Linked DNA regions of Macaca mulatta. The protein of the gene in region 1 interacts with the protein of each later gene in a pairwise test. Links are inferred from orthologs where the notes say so. Each region holds a gene or a part of one and is shown in the gene's direction. Other genes may lie near its edges. The genes, in order: VENTX, TBX22 and C1H1orf94.

The links.
Region 2: the proteins of VENTX (region 1) and TBX22 interact in binary tests that used the Homo sapiens proteins (3 or more experiments, as listed by UniProt). The two-hybrid records come from large-scale screens. The link is inferred for Macaca mulatta from reciprocal best matches to the Homo sapiens genes VENTX and TBX22.
Region 3: the proteins of VENTX (region 1) and C1H1orf94 interact in binary tests that used the Homo sapiens proteins (3 or more experiments, as listed by UniProt). The two-hybrid records come from large-scale screens. The link is inferred for Macaca mulatta from reciprocal best matches to the Homo sapiens genes VENTX and C1orf94.

What each region holds. Positions count from the first base shown.
Region 1 is NC_133414.1:145,333,909-145,338,281, forward strand, and holds the start of VENTX (homeobox protein VENTX), read left to right. Parts: upstream 1-1,502; 5' UTR 1,503-2,842; coding exon 2,843-3,083; intron 3,084-4,373. UniProt on the Homo sapiens protein: May be involved in ventralization.
Region 2 is NC_133426.1:86,363,638-86,367,251, forward strand, and holds part of TBX22 (T-box transcription factor TBX22), read left to right. Parts: intron 1-968; coding exon 969-1,143; intron 1,144-2,089; coding exon 2,090-2,254; intron 2,255-2,632; coding exon 2,633-2,697; intron 2,698-3,242; coding exon 3,243-3,328; intron 3,329-3,614. UniProt on the Homo sapiens protein: Probable transcriptional regulator involved in developmental processes. This is major determinant crucial to palatogenesis.
Region 3 is NC_133406.1:206,661,010-206,665,144, reverse strand, and holds the start of C1H1orf94 (uncharacterized protein C1orf94 homolog), read left to right. Parts: upstream 1-1,245; 5' UTR 1,246-1,335; coding exon 1,336-1,655; intron 1,656-4,135.

The sequences.
Region 1 (4,373 bases):
GAGGGTGTCAGTGAGGCCGAGGCCGCGGGGGTGGGTGTTGGGGAGGGATTGGGGCCTCCCCTTCAGGTGGTCTCAGAGTGCTCGGAGGAGGCTTGGGCGAGTCGTGACGGGGCCGGAGGGAGCAGGGCGGTCTGGACCCGGCGGCAGCACACGCTAGGTCCGGTGCTTGTCCTCAGGCCGTGGACTCGGGGGAAGCCCGTTTCGGGGACTAGTTGGGCTCCGGGCTGTGCGTGAGGGCGGGGCTGCCAGCCTGGGAGTGACGCGGGACTTCCTTGCCCAGCGCAACCCGGCCTGGACCCCGAGGGTGGGGAATGGGGCGACGCCCGCGGGGACCACCCTGTGCGGCGTGCGGGGCGCAATTCTCGGGGCTGGGCTGCCCCAGGGGCTGGGAGGGAGGAGGCGGAGGAGCGCCCAAGTCTCCTACCCATGGCGGCGCATCAGGACGCGTCCCAGAGCTGGGGGCGGACGGAGGCTCCGAGGCGGAGGCTCTGGTGACCCCAGACCTGGGCCAGAGCAGCCTCCGCGGGCCCTGGAGGGAGGGTGGAGGCAGAGGCCCGGGCTGCAGGAGTCGGGGGAGCCTGAGCCACGGCGGTGGGGCCGCTTGCCAGGGGAGAGGGGCCACCCAAGCCGCAGCAAGGGGCTGGGGTGGGGGCCCAGGACGAGGGGCTGTCTGGCCCTGCCGTGTGAAGGTGAGGAGGGGCGGTTCAGGTGGAGGTGGTGCGGGGGAGCTGGGAAACTGGCAGGAGGAGCTCTATGCAGAGCTGGGGCCGGCGAGGGGAGCTGAACCACGTGCAGAAGGTGGCTGAGACCTCGGGGCCGGGCCCCTGGAAATTAGAGATGGAGACGTGGAAGGCTGGGTGCTGGCGTTTCACAAACCCATGCTAGTGGTTTCCTCTTTATGTAAGGGATGCTTCTGGGCCTTTTCCCTGCCTGTCGAAAGTTCTGTGTGTGTGTTTGGGGGGCGGGGTGGGAGGTGAGGGTGTGCTGCGTTTTGCTCCACTTTGAGGCACCGCCCCGCCGCAGCCCCCACCCTCAGGGCCTCTGCTCCCAGGTGGCAGGGCCGCCCCCACTGCGGGAGGGCTGGGTACCTGCCTCATGGGGCATCCTCGGGGCCAGCCCTGTGGCCGTAGGCATCTGGGCCCTCGCTGCCCCTGGCCGGAACACTCTGCTGGTCCTGGGCAGTGGCTTCAAATCCCCTCTCCCGGGGGTGACCCGGTCTCTCCGGAGATGAAGTGGGGACGGGGTCTAGGCCGCCTTCCTGGCCCCCCAGCCCTCCTGGTTTTACCCCCGAGGCCACGTCCAAAGCCCCCAGCGCCCCACCCCTGCCAGCCTCCCCCTTGAGGGCCCGGTGGCCTAACTGGGTCGGCAGGGTCCGAGGAAGACCAGGGTCAGCAGCGGCGCGGTCCGTTCCCCGACCCCGTCACCTGTGACCCACCTGTTCCCCGTGAGGTCCCGCCCCAGCGCCCCCCTCCCGGGCTCCTCCCTCTTTTCTCAGCCCGGGAGGCGCGGATAGCCGGGTTGGGCGTAATCGTGGGGCGAGGCCCGCGGGTCTTTCTGATTTCGGAGAGCGGGGTGGGCGCTGAGGCAACCGCGGTCAGGACCCGGCCGGGAGTCGGGGCTGCTCCCTGGACCCCGTCTGCGCCGAAACCCCGCATGGCTTCGGACCTGCGCCCGCGCCTAACCCCGGCCGCCGGAGACGCAGTGCGGACCCCAAGCCAGTGCGCGGAAGACACCGTCCTACCCTCGGCGTGGGCGCAACGCGAGTCCGTGTGTCCCGGCGCGCGGGAAGCTGGTCCGAGGCCGGAGGGAACGCTCGCGGCGTGGCTGCCTCCCACCCGGCCACTTCGGCCCCGCGCCCCACCCCGACGGCGCAGGCGACCCGGGGACGCCCAGGACGCGGAGACGCAAACAACTCGGGACCGAGGTTCGTGGGAGCAGCGGCCGCGCGTCGCGATGACCGTCCCGGGAGCCCGTGCTCAAGGCGTCCCCGTGAGGTTTGGGCTCCACAGTCCCCGGCGGCTCTGCCCCCGTCCTGGCCACAGTGGGGACAGCCCGGCTTGGCGGGGACGCGCCAGTCCCGCAGCCGAAGCGGAGTGTCTACCCCGCCGCGCGAGGCAGTGGCTCCGGCCCTTCCAGCTCCGGATGGGGTCAGGGAGCCGCCCGCGCCCGCATGCGGAGGCTGCTGCGATGGCCCCGGGAGTGAGTCCCCCAGAGGAGCCGGAGTAGGGCTGGAAGCGGACGAGTGCCCCGAGAGGCCCCTCCCGACATTGCCGTCCCCGCGCGCCGCTCCCCGAGCCCTCCGCGTCTTTCCCGGAAAGCGTCCCTCGGTTCCTGCGCGACCGCACAGCCTGGACGCAGCGCACGCGGGCACCGGCTGAGTCCGCCCTGACTCTCCCAGCCTGAAGCCTGCTCGCCCTCGGGTGTCCGGGCTGGGCACAGGCGCCAGCGTCCCCCTGGAGAGGAGAGGTCGCCCGGCACCGCCCAGGGCAGGCCCGAGTGGGAGCGGGACCCTCCTACCTTCCAGCAGCCTCTGCCCGCGGGGTGGGGGTTGGGAGAGATGAAAGGAGGTGACCGATGCCGAACCGTTCCCTCTCCATTAACCAGGGCCCGCAGCCCCGCCCCTGCCCCAGACACCGAGGAGCCGGGGAGGTGTGAACGGTCTCCTTTGTGTCTCTGAATCGAAGGCAATTAGGCGCTGCTTATCCGGGCGTTAGCCGTGTATGCAAACCGGGCTCCCGCCCCCTCCTCCCGGGCTTATAAACGCCGCCGCCCGGCGAGGCCGGAGGTGGATCCTGCGCCTGGCCAGCCCCGCCCGGCCTTCCCTCCGGCCCACCTGGCCGCCATGCGCCTCTCCTCCTCCCCACCTCGTGGCCAGCAGCAGCCCTCCAGCTTTGGCTCTGTGGACTGGCTCTCCCAGAGCAGCTGCTCAGGGTTGACCCCCTCGCCCAGGCCTGCCGACGTCTCCCCGGGGAGCCTCCCTGGCCCGGGCCAGATATCCGGCGCCCGGGAGCCCCCTCAGGCCATCAGCATCAAGGAGGCCGCCACGTCCTCAGATCTGCCTGCGCCGGAGAGGACCGTGGCTGGTAGGTCCGGGCCGGGGGTCCTTCCCAGGTGGAGATGGGAGTGGGGGAGAGGCCAGGAGCCCGGCGGCTGAACTCCCCGCGGTACGGGGCGGACGAGGTCAGGGCCGGGGACGTGTCCATGAGGGCCGGCGGAGGCCTTGCCTGCGCCTCACTGGAGCGCAGCTTCCCTCGAAACCAAAGCCTTGACGGGGATTTTCTCTCCTTGAGCCCTCGGTGGGCTCCTCTGCCTCCCTTGGCACCCCGTTCCTCAGCTGTGTCCCACCGCGGCCTGGTGCCGAGGGACCGTCCAAGGGGTCCCTCTCCGCACCTCTCTGCCCTGATTCCGGGCGCTCACTGAAACACAGCGCGGGCGTGGGCACCTGTGCCCCTGGTGTTCCAGCCCCGCAACCATCGGGACCCAGTTCCAGGGGTCCGACGATTTGCCAAGCCCCCTCTGCCCCCAGCAAAGCCAGTGCCTGCTCAGCATCTAGGCTCAAGCCCCTTCCAGGCCACCTGGAGCACAGCTGTCTTTTAAAGAGCCTGCAGGTTTGCTGTTAGGGCGGCGGTGACCCGGTGCCTGCAGAAACTCTGAAGTTCGGTCTGTGGCCCGGAGATGCTCTGTTGTCTGCTGAGAACAAAGGTTCTCCGCGTTTGTGTTTTAGTCTTTGTGACATCGTTGCCGCTTTTAGGTTTAAGGTAGTACTTGGTCAAAAGTGGGGTTAACATAAGTTTTCATTTTTAAAAATTTGACTGATCCTCATGGAGTAACTTTGTACTTCAGGGAAATGAAAATTTAAATATGTTCTTCCCAGCTAGCTATCCTGCCCCACCCCAAAAAAGTCAACCATTCCTGTCCCCCAACCCCCTTCCTGATCCCAGTCCTACAGCCCTCCCCGCCACAAGGCGTTTGCTTTTCGGGTCTCCCATGTGCTTTCAGGCTAACGTGAAGACAGATTTTGTAAAATACGCTTCCTTCCGCAGAAACTCCAGTGAGCATTTGGGTCAGACTTGAGTTAAATGTTGAGCTCGTTTCGCCACGTTGGCCTCCTTCCTGGGACCCAGACCACACACCACCTTGTGGGGTTGTTTAGTGCCAGCCCGCATTCCTTAACTTAGAAATTAGAAAACAGACTTGACCAAGGTGGGCCTGGGGATTAACTGAGCCGGGCTCTGCTGGCTGAGGAGCCGGAGCCCAGGACAGGGACCGAGTTCCCTGGGTGGGTCCCCAGGCCTTTGCATGTAATGGACTCTACCTTACCTGCCTGGAAGTCTGCAGAAAGGGCATCCTGGGAACCGGCTTCGGAAGGGAAG
Region 2 (3,614 bases), on another chromosome or scaffold:
CTCAAGGTCAGTCAAGCAGTTCCTGTGTCTAGGCCTGTCTTTTGGTCCATCTTTAATCTTTCCCCTGAAGCAATGTCTGGGTCTTAGAGAGTACAAGTATCATTTTCCCTTTATTTAAGTCCTCAACCTACAGCAGGCTGAAAGTGGCCCAATTGTTCTAAAGCCAAAAAGCCCTTGTGGGATACATCCCAGACACACCAGCTTGCCAACACTTTGACTCGGGGGCTTGGGGTCTAGTTCACGGTTGGAGGGGTGGGGAGGTGACAGCTGTTTACACTAGGGCTGTGAGCATTTGACACAGAGGCGGGTCCCTGGTCCTCCAAGGAGACAGCCCACCTCAAAACCAGAGCTAGCTTTGAAAGCAAGGAGAAGGCTCAGCTCAGAGGACTGCTGGGGCTGCAGTATGAAAACAGCAGAAAAAGCTGTTTGCTTCTCAAGTTGCAGCTGGCATGGGAATAGGCGCAAAACTGGGAAGTTGAGATTGGAAATAGTGTGAAAATCGGCCAGAGGCTGTGCAGGACTGTGTTCCTAAGAGTTTTCTTGATGTGAAGCCTTATTGGCAAAAGGGCTTCCACGAGGACAGGTGACAGTAGGCTAGACAGAAATACTTGTCAGCCCTCCACTTCTTCCCAGACTCTTCACACCCAAAGCTAGTGGATTTTTCCGTTGTCTCTGTGAGATAAAATGGGTTAGATCAATTTCTGTGGCGTTTTCTGTGAGAAAATACAAACCAGACTTAGAAATCTCATGACATTTTACTTGCCCTGCACTTCATTGCATTTTGATGACATATGCTTATTTACAGTTTATTTTTTGCCCCTGAATGCTTGTTAGAAATTAAGTTGAATCTTCTGCTTACTTGCCCTTGAGATCACTGGGCTAATCTGGAGCAAAATCCTCAGGAACAGAACACAACAGCTCCCAGCTTTGGCCTGCTGCACCTAGTGCCACAGCATGTGTTTTTTCAGGTATGTGTATCACAGCTCACAGTGGATGGTAGCCGGGAATACGGATCATCTGTGCATCATTCCTAGATTCTATGTTCACCCGGACTCACCCTGCTCAGGAGAGACCTGGATGCGGCAGATCATCAGCTTTGATCGCATGAAACTCACCAACAATGAGATGGATGACAAAGGCCATGTACGTGAGCAAAATCCTTTACCCTGAGTAGGGAGGTGCCAAGGCTCCTGCCCACTGGCCACCCTGGAGAGGCCAAGGAAGCTTTTTGCAGATGTACATGTTGTGTTTTTTAGGAACTGTCCAAGCCCTGCACCTGTAAGTAAAGTAGCCAACCTAGGGCTCCTGAAACGTTTGTTTGGCATCTGAGAGTGCTGGCAACTGGGGATGGCGAATATAGGGAGTTTGAGGACAGAAAGAGACCTGTTTAAGCCAGAATGCCTGGTCTGGGAGAGTAGGATGGAACCATTCAGGGAGTTCTCAGGCACCATAGCCTCCTGGGCAATCACTGTGATCTCTGATTGCCTTCCTATAGTCCACGCAGTTGGATGGGCACCCAGTGTATTGTATGGTGTGGTGGAAGGATACAAGTGGGGGAATGTCAGACTGCAGCCTGGAAACCTCCCCACCAACCAACCCTCATAGGTACTATTGATCTTGCACATTGTAACTAGGTGCATCCCTGCTTCTGCCCTCCCCAGTCTGGCACTGTGCCGGCTACAAAAGGAAAGACGGAAGCTCCCAAGATTAGGAGGTAGGGTATGCCAGAAGGTTACCCACCATGTCCAAGCCCATCAGTTACTGCCATGAGAACCTGTAGCAGGCTAGCAGATCGCAGTGCCACTTCCACACCAGATGGTCGCCAATGTTTGAAGCAGGAAAAGGCCTCAATCTGGAAATGGAATCACTGCTGACAGGTGCCGCTGAGGTGCCTTTCTCTGGAAATGTTTTTAGCTCGGAGCGCATCCCTCGGAGTGCCTCTGTTGGAGGCCAAATGGCATAACAAAATAGTTACCTAAGCCTCATCATTGCCTTTTAGTGTGCACGTGGTGGAGGTGGTCAGGAGAGAGAACTAGGGTTGGGGACTGGAAGCCAGTTTTTCTAACAGCATTGGTCATTTCTCCTCCAGATTATTCTGCAATCCATGCATAAGTACAAACCCCGAGTGCACGTGATAGAGCAAGACAGCAGTGTTGACTTGTCCCAGCTTCAGTCCTTGCCCACTGAAGGGGTTAAAACATTCTCCTTTAAAGAAACTGAGTTCACCACAGTAACGGCTTACCAAAACCAACAGGTAAAGCTGGTCATGTCTCAGGCAAATGGAAATGGCTCCAGAGGGACCTTGGGATAGAGGCTAACTGCAATCAGTTGCATTTTCCACAATTCTAAATAAAAATCATAGTTTTATTGAATTGTCATCCATGCAAGTTTGATAATGAATTGTGTAAATCTTATGTGAGAAGGCAACTCCAGAATGTAATTTATAAAAGTAATGATTTATAAATAGGAGCTAACCATTCTAAATATGACTTGCAATATGGTTACATTTATTTAAATTGTCATATTACATGTTGCAACATCTTTTCTGGTGGTTGTAACCACTATAAGCAACGGTGACAGTGTTCTCACTGAAAGCAATGATATTATCTTTCTCTCTCTATTGAATCCATAGATTACGAAACTAAAAATAGAAAGAAATCCTTTTGCTAAAGGATTTAGAGATACTGGAAGAAACAGGTAAGCAGCATAGCAATGACATCTAATATTGATGTAGCTAGCTATTTTCACAAGTTTTTATTTTTATTTTTATTTTTTTTTTCTGAGATGGAGTCTTACTCTGCTGTCCAGGCTGGAGTGCAATGGCGCGATCTTGGCTCACTGCAACCTCCGCCTCCAGGGTTCAAGTGATTCACTTGCCTCAGCCTCCCAAGTAGCTGGGATTACAGGCGTGAGCCACCACGCCCGGCTCCCCACAAGTTTTAAGGATAAGAAAACTGGCTCAGAGACTCAAACACTCTAAATTTTGTAATTAGTAGGTGGTAGAAAAGGAACCCAGATGTTTTGTGTCTAAAACATTACTTCCTCCCACTCCTTTGCTACTCAGTATTAAGATCTTGCTTATTTTAGAATTCTAGGTTTAACTGAATTTTATTCAGAAGTCTAGCTGTATAAAAGAGAAATATTTAAAATAGTTACATCTAAAAGACATAGCCAAATAACTCAAAATCATTATGTTCAGAAATTGCATTCTGGGGATGCTGAAAGTTGACTCTCTTTTTTAGGGGTGTATTGGATGGGCTTTTAGAGACCTACCCATGGAGGCCTTCTTTCACTCTCGATTTTAAAACGTTTGGCGCAGACACACAAAGTAAGAAAACTTGGAACATTTGTTTTATTTTTACATATTAATTAAATAACAACATCCAGAACACTTGTACCAAATACTATACAAAGGGATATGTACATGCAAGAAAATGTGTACTTACAGGTAAGTGGGTGTACCTCTGCCTGAATGATGAGGTAAGAGGCATAAAGGGAGAGAAGCTGGCATAAAGGAAGAGAATAGAAATGTGGTAATTGTGGACTTATTGAGATATGTTAGTAAGTTATCTTACACCCTGTGATTTTCAGATTTCATCTGGATTCTTCAGCCT
Region 3 (4,135 bases), on another chromosome or scaffold:
CCCAGCACCTCGGACCTCCTACCCCTGCTCCTGCCCACCTACTGAAGCAGTCTCAGTGCTCAAGGGCTAGATCAGGCCTAGAGTGCTGGGGTCTGAATCTCAGCTCCCCTTTTCTTAGTGGGCCTTGGACACTATCATTTATGACTTTGAGATTCGCTTTCCTCCCATTTAGAACGATAATAAAAAGTGGTACTAATTTCACGAGCTTTGATAGGATTGAATGTGAGCCCAGCGCTTGGCACAGGGCAAGCGCCCCATAAAATGGCAGTTAGGATTAAACTCGAGGATGAGGTGGCCCCCCAGGCAGGAGCTGAGGTTTGTGTGGAGCGGTGAAGTGGGGCGGCGGCGCGTTTGGCTTTGACTTCTGATCCGCCGAAGCGCTCTGGGGTCCTTTGGGCCCCACCCCCACCCACCCCACCGGCGGGTCTTGGGCTCCGAACCCAGGGCGTCCCGCGCACCGAGCCGTTGCGTTTGAAACCCACAGAAAGAATTCCCCCGCTCGACGACTGCGAGGGTGTGGGAGCCATTGGCAGGGCAAATTGGTGGGAGCCGCCCGGCCCAGCCTGCCTTGCCGAGTCAGCGCGCTCTTGAGCTGCTGGGCCCTTCCCGGTGCCCATCCCGCAGCGCGGCGCGGCCAGGGCAGGGGTCTGCTGGGGGCCGGGACTGAGGGCTGTGGGCCCATCCACACACGCCTCGTCCCTTCTTTCCCGGGGCGGCAGAGCAGCAGCGGGAGACCAGGAGCAGGTGGGGTAGGGCGAGAGTAAAGCAAGAACTGGGCCGGCGGCGGGGACCGGGCCGTTGGCGCTCGCTCTGCGAGGGGCTCCCTGGGAACGCCCAGGCGAGCGTTTCCTGCGGGGCCCCGCCCCCCGGGTGCCTACCATGGTGTCAGGCCCGCACCCAGTTCTCCGCGTGTCCTAGCGGGCCAGCATGGGCTGAGCCCAGGCGCCGCAAGGTGTCACGGCGGCGTCGCAAGGGGGCAGTGCCAGGGACTGTGGGGAGAGCCAGCCCTCCCCCTCCAGCTGTTCCCAGATGTCATTCTGCCCGCCCAGGCGCCTGGTTCCTGAGCTCCGGGGCATTCCACTGTTCCTAAGCTACTGGTTTTTGTTGACTTTTAAATATTTTCTTCTGAGGGAGAGGGGGAGGGCGGCAAAAGTTAGGAAAGAGGAAATAAAAACAAATCAAAATAAGCCCTCCCCTCCCCAAAAGAAAACTGTCCTCCACCCACCCCTCCCACACAAATCGAAGGCCTCTGAACCTAACCACCTTGTGGGAGCGACAGCCAGACAGAACTGACCCACTTCTGCCAAGACCCATCCTCATCTCCCTTTCTGGTGAATGAGGAGTGGTGGTGGATGTCTTCTAGCCCTGGGTGGACAGAGGGGCTTCCAGAAAGAGCGGAGGAGGATGGCAAGTGGGAATGGGCTTCCTTCATCCTCGGCCCTGGTGGCCAAGCGCCCCTGCGCCCTGGGCCCATTCCCCAGATACATCTGGATCCACCAGGACACACCCCAAGACAGCCTAGACAAGACTTGCCATGAAATCTGGAAGAGAGTTCAAGGCCTGCCTGAAGCCTCACAGCCCTGGACCTCCATGGAGCAGCTGTCTGTCCCCGTGGCTGGAACTCTAAGAGGCAATGAGCTCAGCTTTCAAGAAGAGTGAGTACCCCCCTATTCCGTTGGCAGAAAGGGAGGAGGGAGGAGATGAAGTCTGACCTTCTAGGGGAATGTTCTGGCCCACCCTTGAGGCTGCTGAAACCCTAAAGGCTGTATATTGCCCCTTCCATGGTCCTTTGTCCAAGCGTTATAGAAGAGCTGACCAAGGTTCTGATGTTTCGTGGGTGAAGAGCCAGATTAGGGCTATATTCCAGGCTGCCTCTTCACTAGCCCACTAAGCAGACATCTCTCATCCTAAACGCATGTGAATCTGAGGTCCTTGAAAAACCACCCTAGCCAAGGCTAAGGGTTACATGGCTCGTGACTTTCCCCAGAAGCAACTAGAAGATCCTTCCCCTCTCCCACCTAAAGGCTAGGCATTCACATGGATGAGACTGATGGTTTTAAATCACATCTGGAATTCCCTAATACAGGGAGCAGCTGTCCCATTCAGCCTCCACAGAAGCTGCTGCAAGAGCACACATCAAAATATTTACTGGGAAGGCACTGACATATTCAGAGGACATAATAGAAAATTAAAGTGCGGGAAGATGGCTGTAAATAGCCCGTTTCCTGGATGGGAAATCCTGTGTCTGGGAAACACAGAGCTAAGTGTTTCTCCATCAGGGCAAAGTTGGGCAGATATTGTTGGGGATGGATATTCGAAAGGAAAGGAAGGAGCAGAGAGGAAAAAGGGACCTCATTAGGAAAAGAAGGTAAATCTGCTGTGGTTATTAATACCACTGTTGAGCACTTATTTCACATTTTGCATCTTCAAAGTGGACTGTAAACTTAATTAATGCTCCCAGAGTCCCTATGAGGCAGGTATTAGTGTCCCCATTTTACAGATGGATTAAGTGTTAATAATTAAGAGCTAATTAAAGACTAACCGATAATTAAGTGTTGCCTGCTCCAACACATGCTACAGCTCAGTTCAGAGATGCTCTGGAGTTGGGGAGCCATTCAGGCATTTATCAGCTGCCTCAGGTTTCAGGGATGCCAAAGCAAGAGCTAAGAAGAAATGCAAAGTGTAACGGACACCCACCTCTGCACTACCTGCTGTCCCTCTGTGGGCTCATTTACTTACTGCAGATGAAGGTGGAAGGTACTTTGGCTAGTCCTGCCTCCCTGCCCTGTGCTCAGCACGACATGGCTCAGATAGGAATGGCCTATCTACAGCCAAAATCCTGCTGTCAGGCCCTTCAGTGGCATTGAGCCCTTCTTCCCTGCTCATTGCCATCTGCTCCGGGACAGGGCCTTGGCAAGAGGGCTGTGCTCAGCTCTCAGTGGCCAAGGAGCTGATTGTCCACTTCGTGGACCAAGGGTCAGTAGCAATTTCCAGTAGATGGCACCCTCTTTGCCAGGTCACATGGAGTTAATGGAGACAGACTCTACTTCCAGTCTGCACTTGGCTGAAAATTGAACTGGTGCACCTTTGGCCAGCTGCTTAACTCCATTTGGCCTTTATTTCCTCATTTGCAAATTGAGGATGATATGCACTGCCTTGTCCACCTCAGAGTTGATAATGAGGATCCGATGTGATGGGAGACAGTGAAATGAAAGATGCATTATACAAATCAGGCTGCCCTTAACTTGTACTTCTTCAGGTTGGGATTTGTTGTTGTTGTTGTTGTTGTTGTTGTTGTTGTTGGCGGCTTCAATCTGGGATTTCACACTATGCTCCATATACCTCAAGGTGCTTCAGGGGTACCGTGGAGTCAAGCGGGCTGGTTGCTGGGCCCCAAAATCCATTTCAGCCAGAGCTGTTTAGCTTTTATCAGTTTTACTTACTGGAGTTCTGAGAAGGGCTGAATTTGAAAAGTATGTTTCTGCTATTGAGAAAAGAGATAGGAAACCACTGACTTAGATGAATAAACAATATCCTAATTGTCAACAAAATAGAACACAATGAGCTATTCTTAAAGGCAGTGTGCTGGTGGAGTCAGATAACTCTGGTTTCAGATTCCATTTCAGCCCCATGACATTTGAAGAATTTGTTACGGTTTAATTTATCTAAACTTTGGTTTCCTCATCTGCCAAATGGAGATTAATACTACACATTTTGTAGGGTTGTTGGAATGATTAAATGGGATATTTAAACATCTATGGTAATAATTCAGATTTGTAAAAATTCCCTGCAATTCAGATGTAATCATTTCTTTAAGCTCTACAATTATTGTATGAGGTAGGTACTCTTTTGAACTTTCCATCTCTTTTTACTTTTTATTATGCAGATTTTCAAACACATAGAATAATATGGTGAATATCTATGTGTCTACACTGAGTTTTGATAATTATCACATTGTGCCATTCTGGCTTCAATTGCTACCTCCACCCCTCCATTTATAAGTGAAATTCCTTTTACAGATAATGTGGCTGAGGTTTGGAGGGTTTAATTTCTTTGCCCAAGGTCCCACAGTTAGGAAGTGGTAGAGTTTCAGAAATGAAACCCAAGACCGCCTTGGCCCTGAGGCAATAATGTT